4 linked regions of the Chlamydomonas reinhardtii genome follow. The protein of the gene in region 3 binds, or shares a complex with, the protein of the main gene of each other region. Links are inferred from orthologs where the notes say so. Each region holds a gene or a part of one and is shown on either strand. Other genes may lie near its edges.

Region 1 (4,286 bases), on a different chromosome or scaffold from region 3:
CAGCGTCACCGTCGGATTGCTGGCGATGCAGGCAGCGGCGCGCAGGCAGAAGTCCAGCTTGCGCTGGATCGGGGCAAACAGCGCCTCGTACGCCGGCGCCGGCTGCTCCAGGCGGTACCTGCAACGTCAGGCGCAGCCTCATCCCCGTTACAAAGTGACAGTAGACACTTGTATTAAACACACTGACATTGCGTGTGCCCATGTGTAAACACACTCCTGCCCCCATCCACACGTGTCTGAGAGCACTCACCACGCCTTGTCCGTGCAAATCCACACGCTAGCTGGGTTTCCGTACGAAATTACCCAGTCCGTGATTGGTTGCGTTTGAACCGTGACAATCGTCGTCGCATCTGTACATATACATGGTTGGGGTTTGGCGTAAGTGTGTGCCTGCCCTGGCTCAAGGAGGAATGGTGAGAGACGTGGGCTTCTGCGGGTCGCACCTGGTGGAGCGTCAACCGGAGGGCAGTTCCCCACCGCTATCACGCTTCCAGGCGGTAGCGTTGTGAGAGCGTCCAAGCTAACGGGCGCATTCCCAGCAGCCGTGTTGATGATGGTGAACTCGCTCAGGGTCCGCAGCGGCAAGTCGGTGTCCCCGGCGGCCCCTGCTTTTTGGGCGCACGAGGTGGTCGCAGGGAGGGAGGGGGCGGCGACCAAGGTTATCGGTCGAGGCCGTACTATCCAGTTTGGAAGCCGAAATCGTGTTGACGAACACTATCATTATTGCATCTTAACGCCGCCCGGCTGCCTGCGGCTTCTGCGCCAGCGCCAGGCTGGTCGCCGGTAATCGTGAGCATGAGCACGAGTTCGTGCACCCAGCACGCCGGAATAGGATGCCATGGATTCGTCCAGAGCACAGCTGAGGAGCTTGGGCTCAGGACAACCGCCGCGGCAACGGTCTTCGCCTTGGTGTTAGATTGACTACTTTCGCTTCCACACGCCGCGACCGCGCCCATGACCGCCGCAGCCCCCGGATGACTCGTATGCTTGTAGAGACTTCATGTTCCGGGCCTTGCATCTCGGATTGACCTACCGTCCGCGTGGACGACCGGGGGCTGCTCCTCCTGCGTCTCCGCCATGCTCCGGGCTCCTTACAGCGCAGAGCGCAGCTAAATGTGTGCCACTGAAATGTTTGACCGAACTTTGTGTCCCGGCTCAGCAGACGGTGCACGACGACGTCAAGTCCGGGAGACCATAGCCCGCCTGTGAGGCTCCGCGTCTGTGCAGTTCCTGGAAATAATGTAAACAAGCCCTGGCGTGCAGGTGAAGTACGTCGTTCAGGGAGTTCCAGAAGTTTGTGTCCAAACCGGTCGCTTTGTTTTTTTGCTAAGCGTTACAAATGAAACTAAGCGTGCAATTGAATCAGCCTGGAAAGCGGCGCCTAAAAAGCCAGGAATTTCCCAAACTCAGAGCTGCATGCAGGCTGAGTGCTTTGTCCCAGCCCCCCACAGGAATTCCCTGGCACTAATTTCTTCTCCCCTCTCTAGTTAGTTGATACTTAGAGGTCAGCTACAATCGTAAGAATGTTGTGTTCCCGCACAACCGCCCCTCGGGGATTCGGGAAGGCAGCCCTTGCTCTGCCCTCCCGCGCTTCCATCAAATGCCGGGCTGTGCAAGGCAAGCACGCTGGGGTATTGGGGCTCCGGAGCAGGGCTTTGCACATAAAATGCGCGTGCAGGTTGGCCCCGACGCGCGCTAATCGGCAGCGTTCCCATTGCATGCAGGCTCTGATCAGCAGCAGGTGGTGAGTGCGCCCGTTGAAGCGGTCGCAGCGCCCGTGCCTGTGCCGGTCGCGGGTGCGCCGCTGCCCCAGGAGACGACCGCGACGTATCCGATGCCGCCTCCGGCGCCCTACTACCCGGTACGTGTAAATAAAAGCTGATGTGGAGCGACAAGCCGGTCGCGAGGCTAGCCACTGCGATTTGGAGGCTCGGCTCCGGGCAGTCGACGATGGTTCTAATTCGCGCACACTCCGCAGGGTATGCCCGCGGACGCTGCTGCACGCCAGCAATACTACATGGCGGCCCCCGCTGCCGCCTACTATCCTCCTCCTCCGGCTCCCTACAAGGAGGAGCCTGCCTCGACTGGCGCTCCTTGGTGGATTTGGCTCGGCGCGGGTGTGATTCTGGGTCAGGTCCTTGCTAAGGTACGGTGACTTGCACTTGGCAAGTATCTTTCTCTTGCCAACGGGCAATGCCTGGCCGCGCAGGTCCAGGAGTATATGAAGAACCCAAAGACGCCGCAGCAGATAATGATGGAGATGGCCATGAAGCAGATGTCTGGCGCTATGGGCTCGCCGCCTGGAGGGGCGGGGTGAGTTGGGCGGCGGACGGAACGTGGGGGTGGGGGATGGGTGGGGGTTGCGAGCATGAAGAAGATAGTCGCGCACAGCACACGTGAGTACCATGTTTGCGGGAGAGCTGGGGCACAGGCGCGTGCCCACCCAACTGCACACTGCCTTCTGTCACCCATCACGGCCCGCTCAACACCTGTACACACGTGCACAGAATGCCTCCGTTCGGCGGCCCCGGCAGCCCCTTTGGCGGCGCCGCGCCCGGCGCCAACCCCTTCGCCGGCGCCGCCCCGGGCGCCAACCCCTTCGCCAACTTCGCGGCTGCTGCGGCGGCGGGTCCCTCCACCGTGGACACCACCGCCTCTCCTGCCTTCGCGGGCGCCAGCAGCAGCGGTGCCAGCAGCAGTGAGCGCAAGGGCGAGAAGTTCGCATCGCGCCTCAACAGCGAGGGCCGCGAGCCCCGCAAGCCGGAGCCGGCGCCTGCGGCAGCAGCGGCTGGCGCCGCCGCGGCGGCGTCCAGCGCCACCAAGCCGCTTGATGTCGTGGTGAGTTTCGGCAGGGACATAATGCGGTTGGGATGATGGCCTAGGCTGCAAAAGGGCGAGGGGCGGATCGAGGCAGCTAGTTCTACCAGCTTTCTAAAGGCAGGGCGATGTCGGGGGTGAACACATGACGGGGCTCCCCTTGCGCATGGGCGATATTAAGTCAGCAAAATATTGAATCAAAGTGGAGGGCTGGGCGGCACAACGGTAGTGCGTTGCCTTGCCTGCTGACGCGGCTGTGAAGATATTCCAGTGACAGTATCCTGCAGCACCCCGCACCCCCTTGCTCTCCCCTCTCTGTTCTTCGGTTGCTCTCCTGCTCCATTTGCGCCGCAATCCCTCACCCCGTAAACGCCCAGCGCTCCTCCTGCCCCCTTCATTTACGCACAGGAGCCGGTGGTGAAGGAGCCCTCCAGCAGCGGCAGCAGCTCGGGCGCCAGCAGCAGCGGCCGCTCGTCGTTCTTTGCGGACGTGGACGCCGAGGCCAGCAGCCGGGCCGGGGGCACCAGCAGCAGCAGCGGGTCAGGTGAGACGATGGGTGGGGAGAGCGAGGGAGAGGTAGGGCTGAGGCGGGGCTTAGGAGTGCGGGTGGTGGAGAGGAGAGAAGGGGGCACGAGAGGGAGGTGCGGGATGTAAAGAGGAGGGGAGTGAGCGGCGGCCGGGCGAGAGGCATGTGCGGTGTTAGCGGGTTGTGAGGCAGGCGGCGGCGGGGTGCAGCAGGTAGGGTTGGCAAATGAATCAATGGAGGGGCACCAGGGTAACCAGGGCTTGGGTCCTGCGAGTGGGCAGTCAGGGTGCTTGCGCGTGCCGGGCAACGCGCTGCTGGTACCTCATGGCTCCGTGCGTGGGCACCCAACCGAGGGTTAAGGGTTCCGCTTGCGACCGAGCCACAACTTTCTGTCTTCCACCGATGCCGAACATCAAAGCCTTCAGCGGCATGCTCGGCCAGGCCCCACGGTATTCTGCGGGCCACTCCTGCACTCAGCCACCCTCCAAGCTGTGCCCGAACCTGCCCCTGGCCCTCACTCCTCCGGACTCCTTTCCCACCTCGCCCGCTGCCCCCGTCGCTGCCGGTCCCACAGGAGCAGCGCCTCAGGACACGGGCGTGATGACGGACATGATGGAGAGCATGCTGCGCAACCCGGAGATGCAGAAGATGCTGTACCCCTACCTGCCGGAGCCCATGCGCAACCCGCAGTCCATCGAGTGGATGCTGTCCAACCCCGAGGTCAAGAAGCAGATGGAGCAGATGTTCGCCAGCCAGGTGCGTGGCTGTGTGTGTGTGTGTGTGTGTGTGTGTGTGTGTGTGTGTGTGTGTGTGTGTGTGTGTGTGTGTGTGTGTGTGTGTGTGTGTGTGTGTGTGTGTGTTGAAGAGCACAAGGAGAAGTAAGCGCAGACACTGTGTATGCGGTGCAACAATGCGGCGGCATACGGATATGAGTGTGTATGCA
Region 2 (3,959 bases), on a different chromosome or scaffold from region 3:
GCTTGCTCCGCTGCCAACACCATGCAGCATGGATTCGCCTCGTCCCAGCTTGGTCATAATGCGTCTGCGCGGACATCCCCGCCCAGCAGGAAGCGGGTAAGTTTACGTATTGAAATCGGCAAAGTCTTAAGGCAGAGGCGCGGATTGATCAGTGTTGGTGCGGTTTAAAGGCCTACTAAGTTTTGACTTCCTTTATCTACGATGTCTGCAAGAGCTGCTGCTGACTGTTTGCCATTTCCCCCGCAGCAGTGTGGGCGCAAACCGACCTGCGTGCCCGTGTGCGTGCCCGGCTCACCTCATGCTGCCGCGCTTAATCCAGGCTCCGCCGCTGCCCTGAGCCTGCTCCTCTGCGTCCGAAGCTTCATGGCTGAAGCTGTGGGACAGGACGCCGGGCGAAGGCAGGGGGGGGCCAGAAGTGGAGGCACCGGCATGTCTCCAACCGACATGTCGCCGCAGTCAGCGCGTTCCCGCGTGACGTGCAGTGTGTACCACACGGCAGCACCATGCACCAGCCCCAGCCCGCACCTTGCACGCGCGATGGTTTGGCCAGTCTCTGGCTGGTAGAACTCGAGGTCCCTGCATCAGTCAGGAGTGTGGCGTTCATCGGCCCACCTTCCAAAGCGTAGCGCAATTGTCCATGATGCTCGTCTGTTTCTAGTTTATGCCTTGACACCAAAGCTCAAAGCCAGCATCAATGCCATTGCGTGCAGCGTTGCCGAGAACGGAAGGGCCGGGTCAAAATGGCTTTGTTGTTGCTGCTTACTCTTCAGTCTGCAATTCCTCCTCCCTTGTCTTGCGAAATGTCTTAAACATTCTTTCTGGTGAGAGCGGCCTTTACGCCGTCCAAGGGTCAATGCTCAAACGCGCAAGAGCGCCTTACGCGCTGCCTTGCTACTCCATTTGTAAGTAAAGTGTCAAGGTGTAAGAATTTGCTAGGTCAAAGAGAAGTTACTTGGCAGACTTGCACCAAAACGGGCGAGCCTGTAAGACCCATCTGCTCGCGAAAACGCTGGTAATAGAAAGTCTTCACATGTCGACTGTGGAACCGGCAGTGGCAGCGCATGCTCAGCCGCGAGAACCTCGAGCATGCCCCATGCAGCTTCTGCTTCCATTACTGCAGTTGCCGAACAAATAGTCCGAGGACATATATAAGCGTTATATAATACAACGTTTCCAGCAACACACAAGACATTTGGGCCAGCTTCAAGCAAAATGACGTCCCTACACGCACTGTCCCCTGCCAGCAACATTCAAGCTTCGCGTTGTGTGCGCCGCGCACTCCCAGGCCAAGCTAGGTATGCATCTGTACTAGCCACACCCCGTCTACCCGGTCGCCGCACCGCGCCGAGCAGCACGCAGAACGATGGGCCAAGCCCCTCCGCCAGGCCGGTGGTGCTGGCGCGCTCTCTCTTCGACAACCGGGGGAAAGACGACTTTGGTGACCGCATCCTTGCGTCGATACCCTTTCTACTGCCGCTGCTGGATGGCCTGCCTTATGGTGAGCTGGCCCGCTTTGGCCAACAAATTACGTGTGGTCTTTCTTATAGCCACATGTTGTGGACGTCGTGAAGGCGCTGCTGAAACGAGCACGGGGATATGCGAGGCGGAGGTCGATGGTCGCGAGCGCGCGTAGCCTCACGCCCCGCTGGCACCGTACCACCGCTCGCGCTCTCTTAGCGCAGCGCCGTGTCGCGTCCAGAGGCTCACACACGGCTGTTTGCCACCTCAAATCAATTGCGGGACGAGTAGCGGCTGCGTTCGCAGCTCGCGCGCAGTTGGTGCGTCGAGGGTGTTGCAGCGCGACTACGCTGTCAGCTGGGGTCCACTTTTCTCCCTCCACAGGCTCCATTAGCTGCGTGCAGCTCGCCAACCCCGCCAGCGCACGCCTCCCCCCTCCCAGCCCTCTTCAGCCAAGTCTGCTGCAACAATACCTTCTACAAACATTCCCCAGCTCTCAGCCAATCCAGTCAAGCCAAGCCCAAATGCCCGGTGCTCCATTCCCTCTCACACGCACGCGCATCACCACACGCACTCCAACCCTCAACACCTACCCACAACCGCCAACTCCCCCTCAATCCCCTCCCCCACCCCCCGGACGATTCTTGACTATTGGCCCTCTTTCCTTGGGCTCGGGCAAATAACCCCCACTCCGTTCTGCACATGAACGGCTGCCCCCCCCCCCCGCCCCCTTGCAGCCAAGTTCATAATGATCCAGTACCCCTTCGTGGCCCGTGCCTTCGCGCCCGTGGCCCCCCTGATGTACATCTACCACGCATTCCCCTTCGCGCCGTGAGTGTCCGAGAGGGTGTGTCTGTGTGCGTGTGTGTGCGTGTGTCATGAAGTGTGGATGTGTCGGGAGGGTGTGGGTGTCAAGAAAGTGTGGATGTGTCGAGAGGGTGCGGGTGTGAACAGAGGGTGTGGTTACGTGTTTCTTCAATGGGTTGCACGCCCTCCCTCCCAAAGCCCCCCCTCCTCCCCAACCCACCCAACCCAACCCCCCAACCCAACCCACTCAACCCAACCTACACACCCATTTCCCCCCCACCCAACACCCATCTCGCCCCACCCACAGGTTCCTGGTGTTCCTGGCCATCTACGCCGGCATTGTGAACAACCAGGGCCTGCCGCGCTTCGTGCGCTACCACGCCATGCAGGCGGTGCTGCTGGACGTGCTGCTCATGTGAGCGGGGGGACAGGGGGAGGAGGGGAGGGAGGGGGAAAGGGGGGGGGAGGGGAGGGAGTGTGGGTGAGGGGAAAGGGGGGCACGGGAGGGGGGGGGTTATTTGCACCATTCCCAGCAATAAACCAGTGACACGGAGACGCTTGACAGGGGATGGGATGGGAGGGGACGGGAGGGGCCCCAACAGCACGTGTGCGTGTGCGTGTGCGAGCGTGTGTGCGGGCGCCGCTGCTAAGTCGAGGTACCAGGGGCAGCGCCGTGTGGGCACTTGCAGCGGGGCCTGCACGCGACCCCTACTGCCACACCGCTATGTGGCTCCCTTCCCTATCCGGTGCCCCTCCCCTTTTCAGTTCTTTGTCCTCAACCTCTCCCGTCCTCCTCCCCTCCTCCTCCTCCTCCTCCTCGTCCCTCCCCTCCCCCCCCCCCACAGTATCCCGCAGGTCATCCTCAACGACCTGTGGAAGGCGCCCACCGACCCCCTGGGACTGCAGGTGGGTGGGGGGAGTGGGTGAGGGGTATGTGCGTGAGCCCAACGGTGGGGTGGGGGTGGGTGGGGGGTGTAGATTGGGTGGGTGAGGGTGGGGGGAGTGTGTTCTTTTTGTCGGCTTAGGCGGTAGAACGTAGACAATCAACTCGCGGGGAGTGCAGGGAGAAGATCATTCCGTACGCTGCCTACCCCCAACCTACACCCGCACACCTATCCCTCCCTCCCCTTACACTCTCCCTCCCTGGATGGCTATCCCCCCTCCCCCCCCCTCTACCCGCCCAGGCCTACATCACCGCCTACAACACGCTGTTCCTGTTCACGTCGGTCTGCGCCGCATACGGCATTGTAGGTCGGGGTAGGGAGGAAAGGGAGGAGAGATTGGGGGAGGGGGTCGGAAGGGGGGAGCGAGGCAAGGCCCGGGGCAATTTGGGGGGGGGGGTGGGAGCTAGTTTATTCCAATTCCAAAGAAACCAAGACCCAGAACCATGGGGGGCTGTGATGAGTTGGGGCTGTTGGGGCGGGGGGGGGCTGAGATGCCCGTGCCTAACCAAACAGGTTTCCGTCGCCCAACCAAGGAATACAGTGCCAGAGGGGGGGGCCAGGGGGCGATGGGTTCGCGGTGGGGGCAGAGGGCAAGGGCACACCGGGTTTTGTGCTGCAGCGTTTCCCTGTTGCCCGCGTGGCCATCACTAGCAGCATCAGTGGCGTTACTACCAACGATGAACGGCAATATCCCTCAAGTGCTTCAAGAGGGGACATTCCAAAGCACGCTAGGACAATTTTATGCTGCCA
Region 3 (4,233 bases):
TCTCCCTTGCTCCGCTTCTCTCCCTCGCTCCCCTCCCTCTGTCGCACGCCGCGCCGCCCCTCCCTCCCCCTTCCCTCTCCCCCCTCCCTCTCCCGCCGCCTCCCTCACCTCGATGTGCACGGGCGCGGCGTCCTCGTCGGCCAGGCCCAGGATGTCCTTGAACGCAGCCACCTTAATGGCCTCGTCGCCCTGAGGGGGGTTGCAGGGATGTTTGGAAAAGCGGTACAGGGGGGGGAGGCAGATTGGAAGGTGGGTTGGACGGTGCGAGGGCGTTGGGAGGTGGGGATGACAGATGTGACCTGATGCCGAGCTCCTTGCGCCTGTGTTTGTACTGCGTTGCCTCCAAGCGCTGCCCTGCTTCGCCTCCTTCATACGCAGTCCCCTGCCGCTCAGACCCCGGCCACCCCGGCCCCTGCGGCTGCCGCCGCCCCTCCCCTCACCCGCTGCTCCTCTCCCACAGCCCGCGTGTCCTCCACTGACCACTGTATCCCGCTCACGTTTCCCGCAGCCCCCCCCCCCCCCCCGCCAATCGCCCCCCACCTTGAGCTGCGTGTCGCCGGTGGGGATCACGGACTCCAGGAATTGGCCGTAGATGCGCTTCAGCCCGTCCAGCTCGTCCTTCTGGAAGTTGATGCCGTACTTGGAGCCAACGTCCTGCAGGGCGGAGAGGGGATTGCGGGGGGAGGCACGGGTTTGAGGGGGAGTCGGGGTCAGCCGGCAAATCGTGCGGCTCAGCGAGGCGGTTTGCTTTTGCGAGGGGCGGCGGCTGCGGAGGAGGCTGCCGACGTGCCGGCTTCCGCTTGCTCCTCCGGGTCTGAGCTGACATGCTGGGGCCCCACAGACGCCGCCGACAGAGCTGTGCGCCGTGTCGGTGATCCGCGAGCCTATGGCGGCAGCGGTGACGGCGGCTTGCAAGGGCTGCGGCAAGCGCCCTGCAGTACTGCACCGCAGCGGCGGGCCCAACCCCGCGCATGGCTCTGCCGCAGGCTTAGGACGCGTCCTCTGCCGCTGCCACCGCTGCCGCCATTGATGCCGCTGCTTTCGCTCTGTGCTCCTGCTGCTGCTCCTGCGGGCGCTGCAGGCGCCGCTGACTCCAGTTCCTGTCCGGCGCGCCGCAGCAGAGCCCCCGAGCGCCGCGCCCCCGACCAGTCCTCGAGAAATCCGCACACTGACCCTACGCTGCTGCCATTGCGCTGCAGCCCCTGGAGCTTGCGTGGTGCTCCCACCGCGCCGTACCACGCCTGCTCAGAACGCGGCTCTGACAGCAGCATTCCTCCCAAGCGTTCACGTCCACCCTCCATCGCCCCCGTCATAAGCTCTTGCAGGCCGCCGTGCTCATCCCAAGCCTTTGCTCCCTTCTTTGCCACGCCGCGTTCCCAGGCGCCGACCCAACGCTCCCACGGGCCCCAGCCAAAGTCAACGGCCAACGGTCAACGCACCGCCACGGTCTGCGGCGTGAGGTCGGTAGCGTCCGGCAGCTCCACGATGGCGTTGTACAGATCCACAACCGCCACCGAGTCGCGCTTACGCTTGGCCTGTTGGGGTTCAGGGTTTGCAGGTCGCGTTTGTTGTTGTTATGTTGCTGTTGCTGTCATTGCATGCATCCAATCCTGCGTGTCGGTGATGGCAGGTGACTGATGCTGCTTCGGCGAAGCGCAGGCGGGGCAGGCAGACACGGTGTGTTTGGGGGCGCGTGACCGCACCTGTACGGCACCGTAGGCGGTCGCGGCGGCGGCGACGGCGGCCACGCCGTAGGAGGCCACCTCCTTCACGCCGGGGTCAACTGCGCATGGGGCGGCGCGCCGGCAGGACATGGATGCGGCGGGTGTAGGGTCAGCAGCAGGTGTGGCGGCAGATGCAGCCAATCCGTCTCCTCTCCAGGGCATGTGCACGTGCAAGTCCGGTGGGGCCTAGCTGCCACTGAAGCGCATGGAAATGGCTGATGGCAGGCTAAGCTGTCGCAGGGGATGCGCTGCTGGGGCTGTGGGTGCACTGCGAGGGAGGCCGTGCCAGCTGCCAGCGACCTCCGGGACAGCCGGCCCGAATTCTGCTTCTCCGCCTAGATCTAAGCGAGGATCCTTGAAGATTTGGCTCATGTAGTGCTGCTGGTGCAGCGACAGCGAACCGATTCTATAGAAAACGCGAGTCGCTGACCGCGGTCGGCTCCTTGGCGAGGCATCGCACGCCCCCCTCGGCGCGACCAAAGCGAAATCTCACCCGGGGCAGCGCGACCCACAACCGATCCAGCCAGGCCAGCAGCGCCAATAGCGGCAAGGAAGCCGGGGTAGAGCAGGGGCAGAGGGATGCCCGACAGGAACTGCTGAGTGCCGTCCTTCGGCAGCGGGTAGGGGAACGCCTTCGGCACCGGCTCCTCCTCCATGAAGGTCAGGGCGGCTTGCTGCGCATTAGGAACGGGGGGCGAGGTCGCGGTCACGCTGCATATCTCGGGGCGCCGGCCACAATCTGCACACCCAACCGTCTTTTTGCCTGCCCTCACCGCTAAAGCCCAGATGCGCAGCGCAATTGCGAACAATTTTCTAAACCAAGATTTTGGCCTGCAAGCTCACCTCCTGAACCTCCTCGACGGGGGCAGCAGCCTTCACCGGGCGCATAGGGCGCAGAGACAGGGGTCCGCGCACCGGCGCGCCCGGCATAAGCCGAGCGGGCTGGTTGCGGGCCATAGAGGCCCTGCTGGTCTGCATGGCTGCGACGGAGCTGCTAACCTAAGCTAAATGCTTGACGGCGTGTGTGCAAGTAAAGCAGTCAAGTCAAGGGCGATGCCCAGTTAGTCCTGGGTTCCTAGCTGCCCTAGAAAAGAAAGACCACGTCGACGTTTGGGCGAAAGTGCGGTCCTCCGCATCAGCGATCGTGCATGGGTCCGGTCTCAGGGTCAATTGTGTTTCTTGTTATCACAAAGGTTTCAATTGAATTTGCACTTCTTGTACGTGAATTACTGAGCCCCGTAGAGAAGTACCTGGACTTTCTGAAGTTCTTTCTCTAGAAGCGTCTTCTTGAACAAAATAACAGTTTTTGACATTGTAATCTATTGCAAATAAACACATCAAGATGGGTAAACCGGAAGGCAAGGGCGGGGGCAAGGTCGACCCCCGTTTCGCCGCCATGCACAGCGACCCGCGCTTCCAGCGCTTTCCCAAGCAGAAGAACAAAGTGGTGGTGGACAAGCGCTTCGCAGGTACGCTACTGAACTTTCTTGCCGGCCGGACAGCTCGGGTTTGGCGTCGTGCTTCGGCGTGCCGTGCCGGCGGCGGCAAACCCTGCTGCCCGGCAGATGTTGCTGCTGTTGACACGCATGTACGACCCACCGCTGCGTCCGACGCCCGCCATCCCTCCAGCTATCACAACCACGGCACTTTTGCTCGTGGTTGCCTGAGCCCACGCATTGACCAGCCCAGCCCAGTGCGCTCCCTGCCCTGCCCCCGCACTTGCCGCTCCCAGCCGCTTAGCTGCTCGCCCGCTCAACCCATCACCCCACCCTTGCCCCGCCCCCGCCAGGCATGTTTGAGGACCCTGAGTTCCAGGCGCGCTCGGCAGTGGACAAGCGCGGCCGCAAGGTAGGTCCAGCACGATACTATGTAGGCGTGAGGAACAGCTGCGTTGCTTCGAGGGTGTCAGTTGAGATTAGGACGCGAGTGACAGCGCGCGACAATGGCAGCGGAGGCCATCGGGGGGCCCCGACGGCCCGCGGGCTCGGGCACCTGTCTACCGCCGGCGGTCGCCCTCCCTCAGTCCCCGACTATCACTCTGGATACGCGCCGAACGCACTAACAGGCCTGCCAACACATAACTGGCTTGTCCTCGGCATGTGCGCTCAAACAACTTACGCATTGCCCGCGTTCATGTATATGACAGATTGAGGACAAGAAGCGCAATGAGGACCTGAAGCGCTACTACCGCTTGAAGGACGAGGACGAGTGGCGGGAGACCGGCGGCGAAGGTGCCGGCGAGCCGGGCTCTGAGGAGCCCGCGGGAGCTGATGCCAGCGAGGAGGAGCCCCAGCAGCAGCTGCAGGCTAAGGGTGCTAAGCAGGCGAAGGGCGGCAAGCACAAGGAGGTGGCCGCGCCGGGCAAGGCGGGCGCTGCAGTAGCGGCAGCGGGCAAAGGCAAGGACCAGAAGCAGAAGCAGCAGAAGGGCGCTGCGGCGGCGGTAGCGGCGGCGGCGCCACAGGGCGTCAAGGGCAAGGGCAAAGGCAAGCCCGCTGCGCGGGAGCTGGCA
Region 4 (3,401 bases), on a different chromosome or scaffold from region 3:
TGAGACGACTTGCGATTAAGCGTATCCTCTCAGGGCAGTTGGAAGCGCTGGGGCTGCTATCCTGCATACTACTGGTCCTCCTGGTTCATGTATGAGCTCTCCAGCGCCTCCTTCTTGCTTTGTAGCGCACCCTGGAATAGGACGTCCAAATGCGAGTATGCCTCCTGCAGCGGGTTGGCGTCGTCGGCAGCGTTGGTGCTTGCAGCAGGCTAGCGTGCATCGTTCCAACTACGGGTACCTGCCCTGAGCACGACAGTGCGCCGCCGCAGAAGTCACATAAGCGATATGTTTCGCACGTGTGCTGTTCGGTGATACCAGACTTACTTGCACGCCGGCAGCGGGGTTGGCAGGGTTGATGGCCACGTAAGACTGCGACAACTTTTTCAACCCGCCCTGAAGGCCTGCACACGTACAGGGTGAACACATCGCTACGCTTTAGCACGTTAAAACTATGGCAAGCAGCACGCACGTTCACTGGACAGGCTGCTAGCCTGTGCATATGTGTGCGGCTACTGTCCCCCGCCAGCGGCGCACCTTGCCAGCCGCCCAGGCCGCCGCCCTCCTTCTGCACTTGAATGGCCATGACCATGCACTGGCGCGTGTATAGGTTGTTGGGCTCTGCAAAGTTCCGGTAGAAGGTCTCCAGGTCGCGCTCTTGCTCTGGCCGGTTGGGGTCAATGACCATCAGCAGGCCGTCCACCTCCTGCGGAACAGCACGCGGATGGCCGCATGCCTGAGACCTACTGTGCTTGGCAACCAACCCTGCCCATTCCAAGCCCAGCCCCCCTACCCCATGTCAGTGCTAGATCCAAACGTGCACCTTGCCGTCAGACCCGTGCACCGTTCCATCAAGCGCACCTTGGCGAGCACCGGCCAGTAGGACTGGTACTGCACGCTCCCCGACACGTCCCAGAACTGGACCTTGACGCGGTCAATGCCCAGCACGCGACTGATTTCTTGGATCCTGCAGGGATTCAGAAAGCATTACACACCGAGAGCAGCACCGGTCGCAGAGGGAGACGTTGGCAAACGACATTTGAGCACATGCGCGGCCCAGGACAAAGCGACACCACTGACCTGACTGCAGCCGTAGGCTGGTATGACATTTCTCCAAGGAGGATAGGCTGCTCCGCTAGCGCTCGGCACAGCAGCGTCTTCCCAGTCCTCTGAGGACCCACCACTGCTATCTTCAACCCGTGCTCTGCCATGTTTGTTGGATAATGGGAATTGAGTTACAGCTCTACGCCACAGTCGAAGCTGGAAGACCTATCTGAGAAAGAACAGCAATTGCAGTCCCATTGCATGGAAGTCTTTCGGCTGCAGTCCTGCCGTTCACTGACACTGGAAGTTAACCTTTTACCAAAGATTTACAACCCGAGTACACCGTAGCTCCCGAGCAGTAGCCATGCAGGCGCTCGCATCCCATCGCACCCTGGCGACGCCAGCGCGCCCTCGCGCTCTAGGCTGTGCGAGCCTGCCTTTTCGCCCCATCGGAGCTCAAGCCATGCGCCGCCCGGCTCGTGAGGGGGCCGTGACCGTGCACGCGCGCAGCGGCGGATACTCGGCGCCCGGCGGGGGCCGGGGCTACAGCTCCACGCCCGGCATCGTGGACCGCGTCCTGGCTGCGCTGCCCTACATCCTGCCGTACTTCGACGCAGTGCAGTATGGTCGCTACCTGTTCCACATGTACCCCGCGGCGAAGGCGTGCATAACGCCGTTCCTGCCCGCCATGAGCCTGTACCACTCCCTGCCTTTCGGCTCCTTCATCGTCTTCTTTGGCCTGTACCTGGGCGTGGTGAACAACCCCAGCCTCAGCCGATTCGTGCGCTTCAACGCCGTCCAGGCCATTCTGCTGGACATCATCCTTGTGCTGCCGCGCCTGCTGGAGACGGTCCTGACGCCGCCCACGTCCGGCTGGGGCGCGCAAGTGTACATTCAGTCGCAGAGCTTCATCTGGATTTTCATCACCATGTGGGTGGTGTTCGGCATCGTGTCCAGCATGCTGGGGCAATGGGCGCGCATCCCTTTTATCCACGAGGCGGCGGAGGCGCAGCTGCGGTAAAGCCGCAGGGATGGCTGTTACAATTCGGTGCGGGGCTGGGGGCCATTTGAAGGAAGCTGCGCTACGGTGCGGGCTGTCCGCAGCAGTTTGCGCAGGGTTGCGTGTTAGGCTCGCCCCGCATGCCGCATGATTGCAGTGAGGCGCCTTGCACGGCTGAAAAAAGCCTTGGTGCACTTTGGATGGAGAGTTGCGTGTTGTGCAACTGTGAGTGTAGGGGAGTTGCGGGCGTCGTGTACGATGCAAGCTGAGACGCTACTGACGCTGAACCAGTTCTAATGCGCATTTGCATGCTGTGTTGATAACGGAGGAGGCCGTTGGTTTGCTGGGGGCAGGTTCATGAGTTGATCACTGCGACATACAGAGTGTGCTTTGATCGCGGTACTTGCGCTTTGAAGTGGAGGCTGTGGAGCACTTAAAATAACAGAGTGAACATCCGGATGCGGGGACACGTGTGCTCTGGTTTTCCGGGGTCGTTGCCCACCTTCCAGTATGTGCCCAGGCGTCACCAGGCAAGCAGCAGTGGTGATGCGTGTACGTTGCACGTGCGGCGTGCGGCGCGGCAATCCTCGCAACTACCAACACTTTAACTGACACACGGGGATCACAAACGGGCTTTCGCGCAACTGCCAACGAACAGGGGGGCGCGTGGCGTGGTGGTTGGCGCGCGGCGCGATTGGGAACGCATAGTTGGACAGCGAGGCGTGTGGGAAGCTGCGACAGAGCACGGCGGGGGCATGGCGGAGGCTGACGGTTGGCGCGCCGCGTGAGTGGGAGTGCATAGTCGTGCGCGCGCTGTTTGGGAAGCCGCGTGTGTGAGCTGCGTGTAAACTCAGAGAAACCTCCCCGCTACGCAGCGCGATGGCTCGCCCCATGAGAGGCAGGGCACGCTCGGCGGAAATTTGAACGGGCGCTGAGGGCTGCGTAAAGTCCACCCGATACCTCCGCAGCCCGCTCCTCTCAATCACGACGTTCCCGCCTGACACACAGACACTTCTCCCACTCCTCCCACTACTTTCCCCGCCCAACCAAGTTCTCCGACCCTCCACATCCTTACCGATTTCCCCTGTTTCGCCTATCCCTCCCTCTTCAGTCGCGCGAACAGCAAGTCCAATCACTCCCTCCTCCGGTCCGCACTGGCTCATCTGTCTTTTCAGGCGCCCCCGTCAATTACCGTGACAGCCCCACAGATCTCGCACAAACTGTCCTCTCCCACCCACCCAGAACGCGCACAGCCCCCCCGACGTTCAAAACAACAAGGAGGTGGCTGCCTTAGGGAGGCAGGAAAAGGGCTGAGCCCTCCCCTCCCGGGTCGTTATCAACCCAGCCACCTTGACGCGGG

Evidence for each region. The genes of interacting proteins can lie anywhere in the genome.
Region 1: CHLRE_10g452450v5 (region 3) and CHLRE_12g508000v5 share a complex: the UniProt entries of both Arabidopsis thaliana proteins name them as parts of the tic complex. The link is inferred for Chlamydomonas reinhardtii from reciprocal best matches to the Arabidopsis thaliana genes TIC110 and TIC40.
Region 2: CHLRE_10g452450v5 (region 3) and CHLRE_04g225050v5 share a complex: the UniProt entries of both Arabidopsis thaliana proteins name them as parts of the tic complex. The link is inferred for Chlamydomonas reinhardtii from reciprocal best matches to the Arabidopsis thaliana genes TIC110 and Tic20-V.
Region 4: CHLRE_10g452450v5 (region 3) and CHLRE_01g039150v5 share a complex: the UniProt entries of both Arabidopsis thaliana proteins name them as parts of the tic complex. The link is inferred for Chlamydomonas reinhardtii from reciprocal best matches to the Arabidopsis thaliana genes TIC110 and Tic20-II.

The regions. Positions count from the first base shown.
Region 1 is NC_057015.1:2,247,097-2,251,382, forward strand, and holds the start of CHLRE_12g508000v5 (uncharacterized protein), read left to right. Parts: upstream 1-1,486; 5' UTR 1,487-1,617; intron 1,618-1,724; 5' UTR 1,725-1,834; coding exon 1,835-1,861; intron 1,862-1,978; coding exon 1,979-2,146; intron 2,147-2,209; coding exon 2,210-2,313; intron 2,314-2,507; coding exon 2,508-2,838; intron 2,839-3,225; coding exon 3,226-3,361; intron 3,362-3,917; coding exon 3,918-4,099; intron 4,100-4,286. Other genes in the region: CHLRE_12g508050v5 (uncharacterized protein), read right to left, coding at 1-118, 251-350, 444-605, 1,034-1,079. UniProt on the Arabidopsis thaliana protein: Involved in protein precursor import into chloroplasts. Part of the motor complex consisting of a co-chaperone (TIC40) and a chaperone (HSP93) associated with the import channel (TIC110).
Region 2 is NC_057007.1:3,016,847-3,020,805, forward strand, and holds the start of CHLRE_04g225050v5 (uncharacterized protein), read left to right. Parts: upstream 1-1,159; 5' UTR 1,160-1,212; coding exon 1,213-1,498; intron 1,499-2,195; coding exon 2,196-2,289; intron 2,290-2,572; coding exon 2,573-2,680; intron 2,681-3,110; coding exon 3,111-3,171; intron 3,172-3,449; coding exon 3,450-3,512; intron 3,513-3,959. Other genes in the region: CHLRE_04g225000v5 (uncharacterized protein), read right to left, coding at 1-64, 296-373, 526-576, 764-813. UniProt on the Arabidopsis thaliana protein: May be involved in protein precursor import into chloroplasts. Not redundant with TIC20-I, TIC20-II or TIC20-IV.
Region 3 is NC_057013.1:4,571,201-4,575,433, forward strand, and holds the start of CHLRE_10g452450v5 (uncharacterized protein), read right to left. Parts: upstream 2,801-4,233; 5' UTR 2,703-2,800; coding exon 2,568-2,702; intron 2,399-2,567; coding exon 2,218-2,398; intron 1,784-2,217; coding exon 1,704-1,783; intron 1,536-1,703; coding exon 1,440-1,535; intron 655-1,439; coding exon 541-654; intron 190-540; coding exon 109-189; intron 1-108. Other genes in the region: CHLRE_10g452500v5 (uncharacterized protein), read left to right, coding at 3,067-3,193, 3,514-3,572, 3,871-4,233. UniProt on the Arabidopsis thaliana protein: Involved in protein precursor import into chloroplasts. Forms a voltage-dependent cation-selective channel at the inner envelope of chloroplasts, which specifically responds to a transit peptide.
Region 4 is NC_057004.1:5,530,217-5,533,617, reverse strand, and holds CHLRE_01g039150v5 (uncharacterized protein), read left to right. Parts: upstream 1-1,370; 5' UTR 1,371-1,504; coding exon 1,505-2,062; 3' UTR 2,063-2,901; downstream 2,902-3,401. Other genes in the region: CHLRE_01g039200v5 (uncharacterized protein), read right to left, coding at 69-164, 325-401, 535-703, 859-964, 1,078-1,208. UniProt on the Arabidopsis thaliana protein: May be involved in protein precursor import into chloroplasts. Not redundant with TIC20-I, TIC20-IV or TIC20-V.